Linked DNA regions of Saccharomyces cerevisiae S288C. Changing the gene in region 3 together with the main gene of any one other region gives a genetic interaction. Each region holds a gene or a part of one and is shown on either strand. Other genes may lie near its edges.

Region 1 (6,099 bases), on a different chromosome or scaffold from region 3:
GTCAAGACTTCCTTTTTCCCATTGAAAAAGCAACGAAGTAATTTACAAGCAATCACTTGGAGATTACTTTCATTGTTTAAAATACAAGAGTTATCGCTGTTTAGTGGTTTCTTCTATTCTAAGTGGAATTTTTTTTTTCGTAAATATACGACTTCACCACAGTTATACCAGGGTTTAAATAGGCTTGTTCGTTCCGTGGCTGTACCAAAGAATAAAAAAGAGCTATTGGATGCACAATCTGATAGGGAATTTCAAAAGGTAAAGGATATTCCCTTGACATTTAAAGTATGGAAACCCCATTCTAATTTCAAGAAAAGAGACCCCGGTCTTCCTGATTTCCAAGTTTTCGTTTACAATAAAAATGACGATCTTCAGCATTTTCCTACCTATAAAGAGCTGCGATCTATGTTTTCCTCACTTGATTATAAATTCGAATTTTTAAGCGAAATCGAGGATGATGACGATTGGGAGACAAACTCCTACGTTGAAGATATCCCACGAAAGGAATATATTCATAAGAGGAGCGCGAAATCTCAAACTGAAAAAAGTGAGTCGTCTATGAAAGCAAGTTTTCAAAAAAAAACTGCACAGTCTAGCACGAAAAAGAAGAGAAAGGCGTACCCACCTCACATACAGCAAAATCGTAGATTGAAGACGGGATATCGGAGCTTTATTATCGCTATTATGGATAATGGCCTTATTTCGTTTGTAAAAATGTCCGAGGCTGATTTTGGATCTGAAAGTGTATGGTATACACCTAATACTCAAAAGAAAGTAGATCAAAGATGGAAGAAGCATTAAAGGGACTTTTGCTAAATCGCAGTTTCTTTATCCTTGCAAAACTGGCTTTCAACAAATCCGGTATATATATAATTATCATATTAGTTGAAAAAAAAAAGCTACAATAAAATTAAGAAATAAGAAATGCACCTAACTGCTGTATTTGGAGTACATATTTTCATCAAAAACAGAGGGTCTATTGTAAAAGGACGTAGGATTCTCTTGCAGTTCACGTTCTTCGTTTTCAACTGCTTTACGTCTTCTCAAGTCGTACATATCCTCTTGCGATTGTTTCGGTGGTACTGGTGGGGCTGCCATAGTAGGCGTTGCAGCATATGGCGAAGCTTCATAAGTTCTTGGTGGAATACCGGGTCCTTGAGGTAAATCACTGCCGGCACTTATTTTGAGATTTTGAAATTGGTCCCCTAAATTGAGCCCTTGTCTAGATAATGACTGAAAGGCTGCACTTTTTTGGGGCAGTAATGGAGGACCCCCAACGACAGACGCTTTAGAATCAAGTGGAGGGAGGGGAGGAGCGGGAGAATTAGCTGTTGAATCCTCGGTCTGCTTTGCAACTCTCACTCTTTCTGCTAAGTCTCTACTCATATTGAATAATGAATCATAGAACTCTATTCCTTTTGGCAAGTCGGATGCAAAAATACTGAATGATTTCACTGCTTCTTGCAGCTTATCAAAAAAATTCTTACGATCTTCTAAAAATTTTTCTTCCCCAGAAGATTTATCCTTGAAATTTGAAAGGTGAAAAATTTCATCTAGCTTGGCTTTGATGTCATCTATCATTGAAGATTGTTTGTAAATTGTCGCCTCTATTCTTGTGCTCAAAGGCTCGAATTTCTCCAGTTCCACCTCGAATAAATCTTTGAGCTCAACATCGGATTTCCCCTTATTAATAATTAATAATTTTGTGATATCATCGTTGTTGATTTCGTCTCTTAGTTCAGACAAATTTCTCGAACGTTCCTCTTTCAATGTTCTTAAGTCTTCCGCATGGCCCTTTACTTGTTTTAACAACTCTAATATCTTGTCGTTTTTGGTATCATCGATATCCAATAGGCTAGGTTGTGGAGGCGTATTGCGATTAAATTCGTCAAACTTCTTCCATATTTTTCCATTGTCATTCAATAGATTGATCTCGACAATATGTGGTTTTACGCATGCGAACAATTTTTCGTCTGAGTTTGAAGCAGCTACTAAAGAAGATTTTAGTTTTGTAACATTTTCTTTTTGATCATTGGGTAAGGCAGAAAGGATTTCTAAAATTTGTTTCCTTTTGAAAACAATTTTGTTCATCTGTTCTTCTATATCCCTAAATTCATTTGTTTGGATAAATTTACACCATGTCTGAATTTGGTCCCTCATCAATTGTCCCTGTGTATCCGTATTCGAGAAAATATTTCCGTCACTAAATTGTTTTTCCAAATCACTCAAGAGCCTGGGTAGATTTGTAAATTCGATGAAGGAAGAATATTCCAAATTTGCTGTCTCAGTTTCTTCAACTTGCTTTCTCAACAGCGTCGCTTTTTCTTCTGAGTAAATACTTTCCTTTTCATAGACATCTAGGGGAATAATTCCTCTGTACAAAGAGTCACATTTATTTGCAACATCTTGCATATATGGTTCTAATATCTTCTCCCATGTTGGAGATTTTATTGCATCGAGCGCCTTAATGGAATCAACCTGCACAACGGCTGGAACGCTTTCATGATATATAAAATCGTTATCTTTAATCAACTCCTTTTGTTTCTTTTCTAAAGTTTCTTTAAACCCATCAAAGTCTATAAATTCCACTAACCACGTTTTGAATGGAAGGGATGAAATCAATTGTTGCATAGAAAAATCGAGAAAAGCAATTGCTTCGCCAACTCTATTTTCTTCTTCAAGGTGTAAACCGTGATAATAAGCGCTTAACGATTTGTAGAAATGCAGTTTGCAAGTAACTGTCGTTTTCCATTTGGGTTCACCATAAATGGCCACATCGTCATCTATTTCTTTCATAAAATCGTGACATTTCTGAAAGAGGTTACACGTGGCTCTAGAAAGTTTACTGATTAATGTATATTGCTTGGATGATATTTGATCATTTAATAATTTCAAGACAAACAATTCTTGAGCTTCTGCATGGCAAATATTAGCCAGAAACCTAGTGTTTTCTGACTGAAGATCGACTGAAGGTGAGTTCAAAAAATTTTCTGATAGATATTCAAAACAGGAAAAAGCTTTTGTCAAATTTGCGATTGAGTTTTTGTAGTCCTCATTGATATTCTCCCTCGCAATTTGGGTAAAGATTACAGCAATGTTGAACAAAGTACAAGACTTTTCAAATGCTAACGTATGTTGCGTGTATTTCAATCCTTTCTGGGCCGATGAGTATTCTGCGTCATACCAAGTGAAATCCATTTTTAATCTTGATCCTTTGCTACCCAGGCGAAAATAAAGATGCTCCAAAAATGAGTAATATTTTAGATTTTGTTCCGACAATGAAGAAGGTGCTAGTTCTCCATTTGCATTATTCCTTAAGTGATCCAGTTCTGAAGTAGCTTTCTCATCATAAAATGTTCTCCATTGTGAGGAGCCGTATGATTTCTTGAGATATGAGGAGAGGCCTTTTTTCCAATCCAGCTTCTCTGTGTCTTTTAGCTTTAGGTCAAATAAGTAAGGTTTCATGAGTAGAACCAGTGAGTAATGAACCTAGTAATGCTCCAGTCAGCCGCTTTCTGATTCAAGATTTTTCCACGACAACCCCCTTAGTACTTCTTCGAATTGTAACTGAAGCCTTGCTTGCTTTCTGTTTCTCGGTGATCCTAACCCGGAACCGGCGTCCTGCATTAATCGAAGCAAGAAAATGAGGTATGATAGAATAATATTAGTATAAGCAAAGTTTCAGATCGCATTCATCTGATTTCTTACTGACAACGATGCATAACCTAAATACGGATTCCTGTAATCATTGTTTTAATAAAATTTACTACGGTTTTTATAAGTATATAATATACATCAAGAAAAGGGAAGGCATAAGGGTACCATGAAAGAAAAACGTATTACTATAATTATTGTATGTTATCCATTACATTAACATAGCCTCTCGCTGTTTTCTTCTTCCTTCTCGTACTTGCTGGTTTGGGTCCTCCTGCCAAACTCAATAAATCATCCAAACCGTTTGCCTTTTTGCTAGTCAAGTTTACGCCAGAAATCCTTGATATGGGAGAGGATGGTGATGGAGAATTGTTTGGATTGGGTCCTGTAGGAGAAGGGGATGTTTTGATCGGCAAAGGCTCACCAGTGATTGGATTGTTCGGAATAACTGATGTGGCATGTACTGGAGGTAGGGAATTATTGATGGGGCCTGAACGTGGCTTTGTCTTTGGGCCGCCATCTTTACGTTTCACGATTGGAGGAGGTGGTGGTGCCGAACTTTCAATAATTTTTTGTTTTTCCTCTTCGGTTGCGTCCTTATTCACCCAACGTTTCAATTTTTCATCATAGTATAGTGTGTTTTTATGACCTAGCTTGGCCTTATACACTTTTTTGTCGCCAGTATCTTTCTTCAACCAACCAAACCAACCATTAGACTTGTCATCTATGTCCTTGTTACTTGGTTTTGTTTCCTTTTTCATATTCACATTCTTTTTTTCTTCCTTTCTGTTCTTTGCCTCATCAGTAGACATATTGTCGTCATCGGATTCATCTTCAATAACGTCATTGTATTTATCCGCATCTGATTCCAACGGTTTAAAAGCCCTGTATTGGTTAGTTGAAGCCTTCCTAATAGTAGGTTGAAAAGTGTCTTTCTCGACGACTTCGGCTTTCTTTATTGGGCTGAATCTATTTTCTGAAGCAACATTTCCATTACTTTGTGCCTGGGATGTTGATTCAGATAATTCGAATGAAGCAGTTTCATTTGCTTGGTTGACCAAAGGAAAGTATTGTGATGGATTGGATGCATGTGCTTGGTGAGTTCTTGCATATATAGCAGGCGATGTTTTCAGAATCGTTGATTCATCGCCATCTGCACTAGCGGCAGTTGATTGAGGCACGTATGGTGAGTAGTTCATTTTGGTTGCGTCAGTACTTTTTGGCTTTGGTGGTGCCATATGTTGCTCCACAAGTTTGGATGCTTTATTATTAACATTTCTTGGAACATCTTGCACTTGAGAAATTGGTTTAGCTTCCATTGAAATACTTCCTGCTGGCAAGTATGTGGATTGAACTGTCTCTGAGATACTGTTTTCATCCTGAGTTAGCGGTCTGTTTTCGAGTGACAATCCACCAGTTGATGGTAAATATGCTGATGATGCTGATTTTGAAATGTTTTCTGGCTGCTCCTCGCTACTTCTTTCATTTTCAATGGAGGGAAGTGAATTTTCCATTTTCGATGCATCAGTACCCCGGACCTCCACGTTAGTTTGAAGAATCGGTTGGATATCGTCACTAATAGTTTGTATAGGATTTACTGTAGACGTAGGCTGGTGGTTGGGCTCCATAGGAAGAAGATTCTTCACATCGTTGAAGCCAGGTCCTTCAATATCCATTGTTTCATCTGTAACATCTGCAGAGTCTTTTAATGTATTTTGATCAGCATTGCTATTATCATGTGATGTGTGAGATTCATCTTCAGGCATACTTTTTTGAGAATGTTTGTTACCAAAATCATTGTATCCCGTCTCATGAACTTGCGGGACGACAGGGTCGATAGGCAAAGCTTCCACACTTGGTGAGTACATAAGCGATCCCTGCGAGGAATTAGCTTTAGTAGGTACCCCAATTTTGGGAGGAGGAAGAAATTCTGATCCGGTAGATATGATAGACTCCCTTCTTACTAAGTCAGGACTAGACACATAATTAGACGGCACTGTTCCAAGTTTGGGTGGAGCAGGGAAGTCGGCAAATAAAGATGGCACATTCGAATTAGACTTTTCCATTGGAACGCTATGGTTCTGTCCAAATTGTGGAGTGTAGGCCGTAGACTTTTTCTCTAAAATCTGCTGACTCTTCAAAGCCTTTTCGTTTGTATGCTGGTCTGTTCTAACTCTTCTCAAAGAAGCCATTTGAGGCTCAGCAGCAGCGAACTGTGTATTATGAATGCGCTGAGGAGATCCCTGCAAACTATCACCGATCCTATGCGTATACGGTAAGTTTGCTTCAACTAACCCCTTTGACACATTGGAAGGCTTTGAATGCAGCACACTATGGCTTGGTACATTATGGGCATTATGCAAAAGAGCTGTAGTATCCACATAGCTTTGCGAAGTAACTTGAGCTTGGAAAGGTGTGAATGTTTGGGTGAGATCCACAGTTGAC
Region 2 (4,365 bases), on a different chromosome or scaffold from region 3:
GTATAGTGGTAATATATAAGTTTCTTTCTCTTCCGGTTTATTTACAAGTCATATACAAATAAAAAAAAGTGATAGTAATTCAATGGCTTGTATTCATTGATACTTGGACAAGTCCGGCATACTTAAAATTTCCTTCTCTTTATTTTCACTGAATTCTTGTAGCTGCTTCAGCAATTTAGAATTGGCCCACTTGTCAGGCAAGGGGCTGGTTTTGAAATTTTTTGTGGCCCAATAGTATATGTCCCAGTCCAACTCATTCAATAGCGAATCGTATTCTTCCAGTTCCTCTTCGTTCATCTTCTTCAAATATTTGGCAGCGAACCCAGATAGCAGCAAGTCCGTCTCCAAGATCCCTCTTTTGCGTGATTGATATATCAACCGAGCTCTTTTCTTATCCAATGGCTCGTTAGTTCTCTTTATGGGGGCAATTTTAATCCTCGTCACCACATCGTCGTGGTCATCTTTATCACTACTAAACCACCTACGACCGCACGACCATGCAGCGGACCCTGTTTGAGAGTTGATAATCTTGTAGCCTTGCAACGACAGTGTCTTTGTGAGTGCTGGAAACATATTGTGCATTTATGTGCTCCTTTTTAAAGTGTACTCCCTTTTTTCCTCCTGTTCTTTTTTTACAAATTTCGCCTTTCTTATATATCCTAAATATACTTAAAATCTAGTCTCTTATGAAATCTGTAAGAAACAGCATAATGTCGCTCCTTCTCTTCTATTTCCTATATATATCTACATATCACCAAAGAACGTGAGAATGGGCAGGAAACATCTTGGTGATTCGTTCATTAACCGGCGGAACAATCTCTTGTATCATTGTAGTCTTTTTCACTACACACAGTTGTAACTGTGGGAAACAGTTTGCGCGTAAAAGTCCCAAGTTAATCAGTGTCACAAGTACGTTTTCGACGTTCTTGGGGGAGTGAATGCCATTATAAATGGTAATTTCCTGGGCGCCGGGATCCTCGAATGTCGGACCAATAGATAGCTGTAGTACCCGTTCTATCAAGGAGTACGGTAATTTGTTCTGACCCCATTCGGTGGTCCAGGACTTTATTACCGTTTTAATCAGATTTCTGTACGTTACCATGGGCAGTTTCTCTAGGAGCACGATCAGTAACTGTCTTGCACACAAATGACGCTCGTTTTGTCTCAGCCAGAGACTCACGCCTTGAATATTCCCATAACGTACGTGTTTGTAGAGAACACTCCAATTATCAATTGTTTCTTGGGAAAGGAACGGTCGCAACGGTCCCCATTTGACCATCTTTCCCAGTATCAGCCCTGTAGGGATCATGTAATTTAGTATTCTGGTGCCATTCCTAGTGATCGCTTGGTTCGTTAACGGCAAGTTCAATAAGGACTGGAAAGCTTCATTGAATTGAACGAAGGCATTATGTACTTGAGAGTTCAACAAGTAGTACCTTCCTAATAGATATCTGTATTCTATTTGCTGGTCGAGCTGGTATTCGTTGAAATGTGCAAGCATGCTTTTTGGCTGAAAGTTCTTAAAGATATTGGAACATAATTGCGGTGACTCGATCCTGAAGTAGATGTTATTTAGTTTATTGACCAGGTAGAGCAGTATTCGTTGTTTTCCAGGTATATTTGTAGAAGATGCGTTACCTCGTGGAGGTTTGATGCTGTTAAATAGTCTTGATAGGATGGACGATATATGTGATAGAAATTGGTGACTTCTCGTATGCAGTTGCAAGTGGAAAGAGTCTAGTTTCCCAGCGAGATTGATGATAAATTCTGTTTCTCTAGTTGCTACTGGTATCAACATTTCTATGTGAGGAGCATTGTCGTTGATGAGACAGTTGATTAAACATTGATAAAACTCAAAAATTAGATCCGAACTGGACCAGGCTGACCATGGGTCGACATCTCGGGCATAATTTAAAAAGGATGTACACATGATTTTGAATCTCGTATCATTGGGCATAGCCGGGTGTTGTTCTACAAACGTTTCTAGCTGTTTATCATCAAATCCGGTCAATTGCTTCTGTAAGATAGCAATTTCCCTACCATTTTGGGACAAGTTTAGCGTTAGGTGGGAAAAATTTCCATGTGCTAATTCATCTAGCAACTGGTTGGCCATGTCCATTGCTATCTATCCTTTTATCCCTGCCCTGTTTCTTACTTTGAATGCCATTGATGTGAAGATGGTTTTTTTTTTTTGGAAAAGTATAGAAGAGAAATTTGACGTATAAACTTAACTATTAAAGGGAGAGAAAGTCAACGACATAAAAAGCAAACACAATAGTCTACAAATAATGTCTATGGAGCCTCCTGTGGGGCTTACGGCTATGCCCGTCACCAAGCTAGCCATGATCACGACGCTTGTGGTTCCCTTAGTTGCCTCGATTGCAAGTTACAAACATATATTTCTATTGCAATATGATCCTTTTCTGCAGACCTACCATCAATACTACCGTCTGCTCATATTCCAGTTCTGCGCCATCAATGAATCCGATACAGTAATACTGGCGTTGATATGGTATCTGTTTAGGCATTTAGAACGGCTACTAGGATCCCACAAGTACTTGACCTTGATTGTTTTGTCATGGGCCTACACCACCTTAGGAATTTGGGGATTGAATCTGATCTGGAACGCATTTATTGGACAGTACAAGTGGCTTCAATGGAACAATTTTAGTACAGGTTCACTGCCCATTGTTTTAAGCTTAGTACATTTTTACAAAGAATACACCCCTCAGATTTACGAATGGAATATAAGATTACTAGGACCTCGAGGAGGAGCATCAAGTCACAATGATAACAAGCGAGAAGACAAGAGCGCCGTAGAGTGGAAAATCAACGATCAGTTTCTTTTAAATGGGTTAATTCTCCTGCTTATATTAAATCAGGGGTTTGCAGGAATACTATGCGGATTCATAAGCTGGATGTGTGGTATTTTCATCGATAAGGGCCTGTTACCGGGATTAGACCATTGGAGAATACCGTTTGTATCCTATTTCATCTCTCAAGGCCCACCCACGAGGGCTAACGTTGCTATAGCGGCCAATGCGGCCACGAATACAGCAGCAGCAAGAGCCACTGTAGAAGCAGCTACTGCTGCTACAGGAAATGGAAATACAGGCAACTCTGGGCCTACAAGCCTACCGCTTCGTGGTTCAAGCACCACCCCTACAAATACCTCTAGCGCTGGTGATGACGAGCCTGGTGCCGATGAACCTGCAAGACCACTGGGAGTCCAATTTTTGGATACCTTTAGGAGATGATTTATATCAGCATATACCTACATAAACAAATAAACATAGCAACGGTTTAGCAACATCGTTTACAGCCATGTGAGGCAGTTACTTCTATCATATGTCTGGCTTTAGTATTGTTGGGTTGACACTTATACGAAATATCAGAAAGTGAAAAAAAAAAAAGGAAGGATCTAGTGATGAGATAAACGAATTTGTGATGTAAATGCAGAAGTAGGCACAAGTGCTTGGCAGTTTTCAAACGATCATCGTATTTTAAGCTACAATCACCAACGCCAAACATCCACTTGCAGCCACTATGTCACAGCAGGAGAATGGTGATGTGGCCACTGAATTAATCGAAAATAGACTTTCCTTCTCAAGAATCCCTAGAATAAGCCTTCATGTAAGGGATTTGTCAATCGTTGCATCCAAAACAAATACGACGCTAGTTAATACGTTTTCCATGGACCTGCCCAGTGGGTCGGTCATGGCAGTTATGGGTGGTTCGGGGTCAGGGAAGACTACGTTGCTGAATGTTCTGGCATCCAAGATCAGTGGTGGGTTAACTCATAATGGTTCTATACGGTACGTATTGGAAGATACAGGTTCAGAACCCAATGAAACAGAGCCTAAGAGGGCTCACTTGGATGGCCAAGACCATCCCATCCAGAAACACGTAATAATGGCGTACCTACCTCAACAAGATGTACTCTCTCCTAGGTTGACTTGTAGAGAAACTCTTAAGTTTGCAGCTGATTTGAAACTAAACTCTTCTGAGCGAACCAAGAAATTAATGGTCGAGCAATTAATTGAAGAATTAGGGCTCAAGGATTGTGCCGATACTCTTGTGGGGGACAACTCGCACAGGGGTCTTTCTGGTGGTGAAAAGAGAAGACTAAGTATTGGTACTCAAATGATTTCAAACCCTTCCATCATGTTCTTAGATGAGCCTACCACTGGACTGGATGCATATTCTGCCTTCTTGGTTATTAAAACTTTGAAAAAATTAGCTAAAGAAGATGGCAGGACTTTTATCATGTCAATTCATCAGCCGAGATCGGATATATTGTTTTTATTGGACCAGGTTTGTATTTTGTCAAAGGGAAATGTGGTATATTGTGACAAAATGGATAAT
Region 3 (5,989 bases):
GATGGAATGGTTTTTTGATCCGCTTGCATAGACTATAGAATGTCATAATGTAATAAAAGTAATTTCGGATAATTTAAATAATATAGATTGGCTTTTTTTTTAATAATATATTATTAGTGTTATGCATGCTTTTTTTTTTTATTTTAATAAAGGGTTAACCTGAAATCGGCTTGCTTTTGGTTTTCTGTCAATTCATAAAAAGAATAGTTTTGAACGGGCAAAAATGGAAAAGCAATGGAAGAACGACGAACATCCCACTGGACAAGAAGCGGGAGCAAGTGTTTGTAAGAAAAATTTACAACAAACTAGATTAAGAAGAATTGGACATCAGAATACTTTTCTCGGAGAAAAAATAACACCAATACATTACGATTAAATAAAAAGTTAAAATGGCCTCCTCAAGTAGCACGCTACCGCTTCATATGTATATTAGACCCTTAATCATTGAAGATTTAAAGCAGATTTTGAACTTGGAAAGCCAAGGTTTCCCACCAAACGAAAGAGCTTCAGAAGAAATTATCAGCTTTCGTTTGATCAATTGTCCAGAGCTATGTTCAGGTCTTTTCATCAGAGAGATCGAGGGCAAAGAAGTTAAAAAGGAGACACTAATTGGTCATATTATGGGTACTAAGATACCTCATGAATACATTACTATCGAAAGCATGGGCAAATTACAAGTGGAATCGAGTAATCATATTGGTATTCACTCTGTAGTAATCAAGCCAGAATACCAGAAAAAAAACCTGGCTACTTTACTTTTAACTGACTACATTCAGAAATTGAGTAATCAGGAAATTGGTAACAAAATTGTCCTTATTGCTCACGAGCCATTGATACCATTTTATGAAAGAGTTGGTTTCAAGATCATTGCTGAGAACACCAATGTTGCTAAGGACAAAAACTTCGCAGAACAGAAATGGATCGATATGGAGAGAGAACTAATTAAGGAAGAATACGACAACTAGATCATTAGTTTAACGCACTTTACAAATGTCTAATTATAAATACTACATATAATTTTTGTATATTTTAAAATTGCCAAGTATAATTAAAATCATTACTACTGGTGCTACCCTACATCCTTGACCGTACTGAGATATCACTGCTTAATTCCGGTGATTGGGTTCTTTTCAGTTCTTGGAGAGATATACGTACTACCTTCCTTTTTTTTTAAGGATACCTTTACTGTAAAGGGTTTGTTCCTGTATCAACCCCTTCTTCCTGTACAGAATCTAAGGGAACCGTAAAAGCACATAAGTATATAAAGGTCCCAAGATTTGATTAGGTAGATATGGCCTTTGAGTTGGCTCTTAGTTTTTTTTGGCCTTGAATACTTGTTCCTACAATACTCCAACAGCAGTTGAAGCCAGACCGCAGTATCACATATATAATACACAGGAATATATTTGATAATGTTGAGAACCACTTTTTTGCGCACTCCAAGACAATTGATGCGTAAATCGCCAAGGGCGTCTTTCTCAATCGTCACTAGGGCCGCCTTTCCTCACCTAAAGAACAATCAAGATGAAGCTGAGAAAAAAGAACAGGGTTTGTTTGATAGCAACAAGAAGAGGTTGGACACTTTGGAACACGGCAAGAATCCAGATTATAAGCAACCTGGAATGGAAGATTTGAAAAAAAAGGGAGATGACGCTAGAATCGAACAAAACAGGCCAGATGACGGTGTTTATTAAGAAGCACTTGGTACAAACTCGTATATGCATGTAGTTTCTGTCATACACATATCTATATTCCTTCCCCCCTGGTCCTATCGTATTTAGTCATATCATATCATTTATTGATATCTATATAAGTGCAAAACTATAACCATTATTTATTTGCTTTCCACATTGTTTTACTTCATTTGCTTCAATATCGTTCATTACGTTTAGCGAATGGCTAAGGCCCTTGTATTAGTAAAAGCCTAGAAAAAAAAAAAAAAAAAAAAAAAAGGATATGATGTTATATGATACGTGTAGTTCATGTATTTATCTTCGGTAGTATAGGGCAGATTTAAGACTGAGTGTGCACGCTTCCAAAGTTTTTTTTACTATTTGATACATGCTTAAGTTATGGAGCAGAATATTATTAGTACCATAAGGGATGAGTGTATTCGTCACCGGTCGAAGTACCTTACGATAGCACAACTAACCGCTATTGCAGAGGCTAAAATTAACGAATTCATCATAACTGGTAAGGCAAAAGATCAAGATTTGAGCAGTCTTCTAGATAAATGCATCGATATTTTATCTATTTACAAGAAGAACTCGAAAGATATCAAAAATATTATATCGTGCAAAAATAAGGGTGCAATGATTAGTTCAAATTCCGTAATGATTATTCAATTAAATTATGTTTACTACAAGGTAATTCACATTATTGTAACAACCAATATTCCTCATTTAAGTGAATTCGCCAAGATTAAATTACATAAGAGCACGAGTGATGAGGGCAACGGTAATAACAACAATAATGAATTTCAACTCATGAACATTTACAACACTTTGCTGGAAACCTTATTAAAAGATGAAAACATTGCAAAAATAAAAAGTTTCATTAAGTCTTCCATAAAACAAACAAAATTGAACCATGAGCAAGAAGAATGTAACCTGATGAGAACGGGTTCCTATATCACTTCCAATCAATTAAACTCCCTAATAAGTTCATCAGCAAATTCTGCTTCCTCCCAAATGGAGATACTACTGATAGATATACGATCAAGGTTGGAATTCAACAAGTCACATATTGATACAAAAAATATTATATGCCTGGAGCCTATTTCTTTTAAAATGTCATATTCAGATCATGATTTGGAGAAAAAATCATTAATTACTTCTCCTAATAGTGAGATTAAAATGTTTCAAAGTAGAAATCTTTTCAAGTTTATCATTCTCTATACAGACGCAAACGAATACAATGTTAAACAGCAGTCTGTCCTGTTGGACATTCTGGTGAATCATTCCTTTGAAAAACCAATATCCGATGACTTTACCAAAATTTTCATTCTGGAATCTGGTTTTCCAGGTTGGCTTAAGTCAAATTATGGGAGGCAAGTATCATCATCTTTTCCATCAAATAACAATATTAAAGATGATAGTGTTTATATTAATGGTAACACTTCTGGCCTAAGTTTACAACATTTACCTAAGATGTCTCCCAGTATAAGACATTCAATGGACGACTCTATGAAAGAAATGCTAGTTGCGCCTACTCCATTAAATCATCTTCAACAACAGCAACAACAGCAATCAGACAATGATCATGTGCTAAAAAGATCTTCAAGTTTCAAAAAATTATTCTCAAATTATACGTCTCCTAATCCGAAGAATTCAAATTCAAACTTATATTCTATATCTTCGTTGTCCATATCTAGTTCACCATCGCCTTTACCTCTACATTCGCCTGACCCAGTTAAGGGCAATTCATTGCCAATCAATTATCCGGAAACGCCACATCTTTGGAAAAACAGTGAGACAGATTTTATGACAAATCAAAGAGAACAGTTGAATCACAACTCTTTTGCTCACATAGCTCCTATCAACACGAAGGCCATCACTTCTCCATCAAGAACTGCCACACCGAAGTTACAACGCTTCCCGCAAACAATTAGTATGAACCTTAATATGAACTCCAATGGACACAGTTCTGCCACCTCTACCATTCAACCTTCGTGTCTATCCTTGTCTAATAATGACTCTTTAGATCATACAGATGTTACACCAACTTCTTCTCATAATTATGACCTTGATTTCGCGGTTGGTTTGGAAAATCTAGGAAATTCGTGTTACATGAACTGTATCATTCAGTGTATCTTAGGTACACACGAATTAACCCAAATCTTTTTGGACGATTCATATGCTAAACACATCAATATTAATAGTAAGTTGGGATCGAAAGGTATTCTGGCAAAATATTTTGCAAGGTTGGTTCATATGATGTATAAGGAACAGGTTGATGGTTCAAAGAAAATTTCCATATCACCGATAAAATTTAAATTGGCATGTGGATCTGTTAACTCATTATTTAAGACTGCATCCCAACAGGACTGCCAAGAGTTTTGCCAATTCCTTCTAGATGGTCTTCATGAAGACTTGAACCAATGCGGTTCAAACCCACCTTTGAAGGAGCTTTCTCAAGAAGCTGAGGCGAGAAGAGAAAAACTGTCTTTGCGAATTGCCTCGTCAATTGAGTGGGAACGATTCTTGACTACTGATTTCAGTGTTATTGTCGACTTATTTCAGGGACAATACGCCTCACGACTAAAATGTAAAGTCTGTAGTCATACCTCGACAACATACCAACCTTTTACGGTGCTGTCAATCCCTATTCCTAAAAAAAATTCCCGAAATAATATTACCATTGAAGATTGTTTCAGAGAGTTCACCAAATGTGAGAACTTGGAAGTGGATGAGCAATGGTTGTGCCCACATTGTGAAAAAAGGCAGCCCTCCACGAAACAATTGACAATAACGAGATTACCGAGGAATCTGATAGTCCATTTAAAGAGATTTGATAATTTATTAAACAAAAATAATGACTTCGTCATATACCCTTTTTTGTTGGACTTGACTCCATTTTGGGCCAATGATTTTGACGGGGTTTTTCCTCCAGGTGTTAATGACGATGAACTACCAATAAGGGGACAAATACCACCTTTTAAGTATGAATTATATGGTGTAGCATGCCACTTTGGTACTTTGTATGGTGGTCATTATACAGCCTATGTGAAAAAGGGATTAAAGAAGGGATGGCTATATTTTGATGATACCAAATATAAACCTGTCAAAAACAAAGCCGATGCAATTAACTCTAATGCATACGTTTTGTTTTATCACCGCGTCTACGGTGTTTGATTCATTTGAATAAATAACTGAAAACCGTTGTCTATACACTTTTTTTCCCGTTCAACATGGCATATCATTATTTCCATCTAAGGTCAAAGTAAAAAACCCTAAATACAAATGATTTATTTTAACGGTAACAAACGAACTTTTTTTTAGAAGGTGTAAAGATGAGATCACGCCCAGATTTTGTCTTCCTCCTGTGCATCTCTTGGATTGATGATTTTCCTTTCTACCATAATACGTCATGAAAAGTATGTAAATATTTATAGCATTACATATATCTTTTATATGAAAAAAATCACTCATTCCCAGTCATCATCGTCGTCGTCGTCCTTGCTCTCATCCTTGTTGGCGAGGCCAACATGGTCACTAACATCTTTCAATCCCTCTTGAGACACAGCAACTTTCGTCTCCCCTTTAGATTTGTTGTCAGCTACTGCTTCTACTTTGTCATCATCTTCTTCTTCTTCTTCGTCATCCCACTCAACTTCTTTTTCCTCCGTTTCCTTTTCCTTTTTGGACAATATTTCTTTCCTTTTACTTTCTTTATCTAGAATTTTGTTTCTTTGTAAGAAATAGATGTGCCAGAAATCTTTATAGCTGATTTTATGGGGTACGATGTCGTTCATTAATTTGGAGATATCTTTGTCGCCCTGTAAAATAGAACATATCTCCTCAGTTTTTTCATCCACGTCAAACGGGTCCAGTTGCAAATCCATTTTATTGTCTAAATAAACCGATTTATCTTTAGATAATGTCCTTAGTTCGGCTTCTGTTCTATTTCCACCCACAGCAATTTCATTTTCTTTCGAATTCTCATCCTTGTCATTAGAGTCATTTTCTGCAGCATTATCGAAGCTACTGAAGCCAGACCAAAAATTCTTAGTTTTCATTTTGCTCCAATATGACTGGGCTAGACTTTCCACGCTGTGAATATTCTCGTCTAGTTTCTTCAAATACTTTTGTGCAGTCTCTGTAGTTTCATTGCTAATTGGCAAGTTAATTTCAATTCCGTCATCTTTCTCGATTACTAACTTTTTGAATGCACTTGTAGTCTTTTCATATCGTTTATTGACTTCCTCTTCTAACTTTTGGAAGGCCTCATTTGTTTTGTCATCTCGGCTCTGAAGTTCGTTATTTTCAGT
Region 4 (4,923 bases), 240 kb from region 3:
ATTCATACAGATGAGAAGTATTATTACAAGCACGATCATTTTTTGTCTTTACTTGAAAAATTATGTGGAACTGGAAAAAAAAATGGCCCAAAGTTCTTTAAAGTTCTGAAGAGAATCATGCAATCCTATTTAGATGATATCACCGATTTAACATCAACAAATAGTAGTGTTCAAAAGTCCATTTTCGTTCTCTGCACTAACATTTCGAATATCACATTTGTTTCTCAGTACGATTTGGTGTCCCTACTCAAAACCATTGATTTAACTACAGATAGATTAAAAGAGGTTATCATGGATGAAATAGGTGACAATGTTTCATCGCTATCCGTATCAGAAGAAAAGCTCAGTGGAATAATTTTAATACAGTTAAGCTTACAGGATTTGGGTACTTATCTACTGCACTTATACGGGTTAAGGGATGATGTGCTTTTATTAGATATTGTAGAAGAATCAGAATTGAAGAACAAACAACTCCCTGCAAAGAAGCCGGATATCAGTAAGTTTTCCGCACAGTTGGAGAATATTGAACAGTATTCATCAAATGGCAAGCTTCTTACATATTTTAGAAAACACGTGAAGGATACGTAAATATATTGCACTTAAAATATACATAGTATTAATAATCATTTTGCATTTTCCATGCTGATTTTTCACGCAGGTTTTGAGAAGCAACTATGAAATATTGAATTTCATTTACACCATCGCATTATATTAGTTCAAACTAAACCTTTTTTTTCTTGCGGACAGGCAAAATATTAATACCTGAGTTAGTTTTCATTCCATTGTGTGTTTTTACAAAGGTCTTTTCGTTACAAGAGGGCACTATTGCTAAGTTTGGGTTGATATTGTTAATAATAGCACCCACATTCTCAGAAGACCTTTGTGAAATCTGAGATGCAGTGCAAGATGAAATTGAACCTAAAGGTGCCTTCTCTGAAAGAGTTGGACTTATAGATGCAGCATTGTTCCTTAAGGCATTCATTTCTTTTGATTTGACAGTCTCTGTCACAGATATTTCCTCCGCTTTAACATTCAGTTTCATAGACTTTTGTGTATCTTGCCTTATATCCCGAATGACTTCTGGTTCCACCTCCATCGTTAACGGGATGACTTCCCTTCTTCTTTTCACAGCAATTTGCGTTGATATTCGAGGAGCTTTCTTGAATTTTTTTGGATTTGTGGGAACTTTGTTTTTCCATGAATTTCTCTCTTTAGTGGAGGTTTTAATCAAATACGGTTTTCGGAGCGGCTCAGCTACGATAGCAAACCGTGTCATTCCCTTTTGTGATTGATGATCGCTCAGCAGTACTATAATGGAACCACCGCATTGCTGCTCTCTCTTCTTTAGGCGTCTCTCCCTTATTTCCTCAACGGTTATTTTTTCTTCTTCTTCGTCAGAGGAGCTTGCGTAATCTGGAATAAAAGTTCGATCGATTCGAGTATATATCTTGGGCCAATCTTTGCCACTAACCAATTTCAACAATGAATCACTTGAGGCTGGCCTTCTAGCTAAATTGCGGCTTTTTTTTTTCATAGATTCAAATTTATGTAACATTGAATCAATCAGCTCTTTAGTTTGGTAACGTTTAGTCTCCATTTCATTCTCGTCAGTGGGGTCATTTATTTTAGTAACCTTCTGTAATGTTACTTCCCAATTCAACATACCCAGTCTGTCTGAAATTAATGAAAGCCTGTCTGCTTCATTTTCACCATTTACGATGTCCGATTGAATCATTCTATTTTCTTGCTTCAACATTTTCTTGTGGTAAGGCTGATACGTGCTATCAGGAAGCAAATCATCAGTTGGTTTTCTAATATTCTGGCTCAATTCATGATGTTCAATTTCTAGTGTCATCTTTGTAATTGTCTCTCTCTTTTTCTTGATCTCATCATCGACATTACTCATGAACGGCGACTTCATCACAGGTTTCTGACAACGCGTTTCGTCAACATGCTCATCTACAGTAAAGCAGGACTTAGATTTCCTTAGATGTCCAGCATTTGGGTTTATCCTGCTGACTAATCTTAACTTCCTTTTAGGGTTAATTTCGTATTCTTCTGTATCAAAATCGAATTTTTCAAATTCTCCATGACTATTTTTAATCTCAGACCTCAGCAATCTCTCAGAAGTATTATTTGCTTCTTCTATTGATTGAAAAATACCCATTGATGAACTCTCATATGCTTTTAATGCTGTAGAAATTTTCGGTTTTCCTTTTTAATCTTGCTACTTTTTGTTTTGAGATCGCTGAAATCAACTCGCGGGTTAGATTTTCTTATTTTTAAAAATGTAGAACGAACGATTATGGAAACAACAATAACCAAAAAGAAAGGGAAAACAGTACCGCTTCTACTAATCTGTTGGATACATTAGACAATAAGCTCTAGGAAGTATGGTATATCGTAACAGGTCAAAGAGCGTTTTATCTACACACAGCAAGAAGAGCGACGATAAGGCCCACTATAAATCACGTTCGAAAAAGAAATCAAAAAGCAGGAGCAAGAAGAGGTTAAGAATCTACTGGAGATACATATCTATTGTATGGATCTTATGGTTAGGATTAATATCTTATTATGAATCAGTGGTTGTGAAGAGAGCAATGAAGAAGTGCCAATGGTCGACTTGGGAGGATTGGCCTGAAGGCGCTGAAAGTCATAGGGTGGGTTTATTTGCAGACCCACAAATAATGGACGAATATTCATATCCTGGGAGGCCTCAAATAGTTAATTATTTTACAAGAGTGATTGTTGACCATTATCACAGGAGAAATTGGAAATATGTCCAGTATTACTTGGATCCTGATAGCAATTTTTTCCTAGGTGATCTATTTGATGGAGGGAGAAACTGGGATGATAAGCAATGGATTAAAGAGTACACACGATTCAACCAAATATTCCCCAAGAAGCCACTGAGAAGAACGGTCATGTCTTTACCAGGTAATCACGATATTGGTTTTGGAGACACAGTTGTTGAATCGAGTTTACAGAGATTTTCTAGTTACTTTGGAGAAACTTCCTCCTCATTAGACGCTGGAAATCATACCTTTGTACTTTTAGATACAATTTCGCTTTCTGATAAAACAAATCCGAATGTCTCGAGGGTTCCTAGACAGTTTTTGGATAATTTTGCAATGGGTTCACATCCGCTTCCTAGAATTCTTTTAACTCACGTTCCATTATGGAGGGATCCAGAACAGCAAACGTGCGGTCAGCTACGTGAATCCAAAGAACCTTTTCCTATTCAGAAAGGGCACCAGTACCAGACAGTTATAGAAAACGATATATCACAAGAAATTTTAACGAAAATTCAACCAGAAATATTATTTTCCGGGGATGATCATGACCATTGTCAGATATCACACTCATATCCGTTTCAGGGGAAAACTAAAAATGCTCAAGAAATTACAGTAAAGTCATGTGCAATGAACATGGGGATCAGTAGGCCTGCTATTCAATTGCTCTCCTTATATAATCCTTCAGATTTGACAATGGTAAATGCCGGCGGAGAGTATGCATCAAAAACTTACCAAACAGAGCTATGCTATATGCCAGATCCCTATAAGGCAATCAGAATGTACCTATGGGGATTATTATTCTCTGCTGCCTTTATCGCATACATGCATTTTTTCCCAAAATCTTTTAATAATCGCGTAGCAACCATAATGAACAGAGTATTTACACGACCTGATGGTAACACCTCAGATTTGCCATTACCTACAAGTATTTCCAAATCGAAATCCAAAAAATCATTGACACATAGTAAATACGCTGTGAATGATACGCGTTCGATCAAACAATTTCTAGTTAATGCAATTGTCCTTTTTGTTTCTGTGATGCCCATTTTTATTTATTTTTATACTGTAGTCTAGACAGAATTACTGCTATTCTCTTCCAGGATCAAAATGCTTTGAAGGGAAACGTCTGGCTATTTAATATATGCGAATACACCTTATATACAGACAATGAACAAGAGATATAAATTATACCGGGTGTGGTATTACTATGCTCACCAAACAGTTTGCATAACCTCTACTGGATTTGCATTATGTTTTGTGGTCCAAGCTAAAACTGCAGGACTGGGCGTAACACCAATTACTTCACTATACGGGGACAAAAAAGAACACCTAGGTAAGTTGTTGGTTCCTTTAGTTTTATATCAAATTTAGCAAGTCATGACGGCAAATTTCTTTGTAAGCTTTGTTTAAAAGATGGATACAAAAGGACGACTTTCCTTTCAATCTTTCGTTTTTGCTTTTTATTATTCCATAGCAATATAGTGATCATAGTAGTGTAATTTTTAGAGTTTAAAAAACACGAAAGTAGGATGAAGTACAAAAGATTAACGAAAATACTCCATTCTCTTAACAACTCATACGTATATGAAGATTAAATTAATATGGAAGATAAATTAGACAGATACTACACAAATGTGCTTTCAAATGCTGAAAAGGATAAACACACAACTGTCGATAGCGATGACAAAAGTAGTGGCGAGGAAAATTTAGATGAACTACTTAATGAATTGGATAGAGAATTAGACGAGGATCATGAATTTTTGAGTGCTTATCGGTCGGAGAGGCTACAACAAATATCAGATCATTTAAAACAGGTCAAGAAGAATGTTGAGGATGACGGATACGGTAGATTGCAGTGCATTGATAACGAGGCAGATGCTATCCAAATATGTACAAAGACTACTATGGTGGTCATACATTTTGAATTAGAAACATTCGGTAAGTGCCAGTATATGAATGAAAAACTGGAAAACTTGGCAAAGAGGTATCTAACCACGAGATTTATTAAAGTAAACGTCCAAACATGTCCATTTTTGGTTAATAAACTGAATATTAAAGTACTTCCGTTTGTAGTTGGATACAAGAATGGCCTAGAAAAAGTTCGCTACGTAGGATTTAGTAAACTGGG

What was found.
Region 1: of DOA4 (region 3) and BRO1, changing one suppresses a phenotype caused by changing the other (phenotypic suppression), as found in Saccharomyces cerevisiae (2 studies listed by BioGRID).
Region 2: mutations in DOA4 (region 3) and DSC2 are lethal when combined (synthetic lethality), as found in Saccharomyces cerevisiae (2 studies listed by BioGRID, with this or other methods).
Region 4: of DOA4 (region 3) and CDC1, a mutation in one rescues a mutant of the other (synthetic rescue), as found in Saccharomyces cerevisiae (one study listed by BioGRID).

Annotation. Positions count from the first base shown.
Region 1 is NC_001148.4:391,404-397,502, reverse strand, and holds BRO1 (Bro1p), read right to left. Parts: upstream 3,466-6,099; coding exon 931-3,465; downstream 1-930. Other genes in the region: tRNA splicing endonuclease subunit SEN54, read left to right, coding at 1-801; COPII coat assembly protein SEC16, read right to left, coding at 3,849-6,099. UniProt on the Saccharomyces cerevisiae protein: Class E VPS protein involved in concentration and sorting of cargo proteins of the multivesicular body (MVB) for incorporation into intralumenal vesicles. Fusion between endosomes and the vacuole will then target the cargo proteins to the vacuolar lumen.
Region 2 is NC_001147.6:192,724-197,088, reverse strand, and holds DSC2 (Dsc2p), read left to right. Parts: upstream 1-2,288; coding exon 2,289-3,257; downstream 3,258-4,365. Other genes in the region: succinate dehydrogenase assembly factor SDH5, read right to left, coding at 94-582; THP1 (Thp1p), read right to left, coding at 752-2,119; YOL075C (uncharacterized protein), read left to right, coding at 3,547-4,365.
Region 3 is NC_001136.10:583,803-589,791, reverse strand, and holds DOA4 (ubiquitin-specific protease DOA4), read left to right. Parts: upstream 1-2,072; coding exon 2,073-4,853; downstream 4,854-5,989. Other genes in the region: IPT1 (inositolphosphotransferase), read left to right, coding at 1-31; PAA1 (polyamine acetyltransferase), read left to right, coding at 390-965; FMP16 (Fmp16p), read left to right, coding at 1,413-1,694; DOS2 (Dos2p), read right to left, coding at 5,147-5,989. UniProt on the Saccharomyces cerevisiae protein: Ubiquitin thioesterase that acts at the late endosome/prevacuolar compartment to recover ubiquitin from ubiquitinated membrane proteins en route to the vacuole. Also removes ubiquitin from soluble proteins targeted to proteasomes.
Region 4 is NC_001136.10:825,189-830,111, forward strand, and holds CDC1 (putative lipid phosphatase CDC1), read left to right. Parts: upstream 1-2,393; coding exon 2,394-3,869; downstream 3,870-4,923. Other genes in the region: cohesin-loading factor complex subunit SCC2, read left to right, coding at 1-588; SAS4 (Sas4p), read right to left, coding at 722-2,167; YDR182W-A (uncharacterized protein), read left to right, coding at 3,963-4,166; PLP1 (Plp1p), read left to right, coding at 4,397-4,923. UniProt on the Saccharomyces cerevisiae protein: Probable metallophosphoesterase which may participate in recombinational repair of double -strand breaks.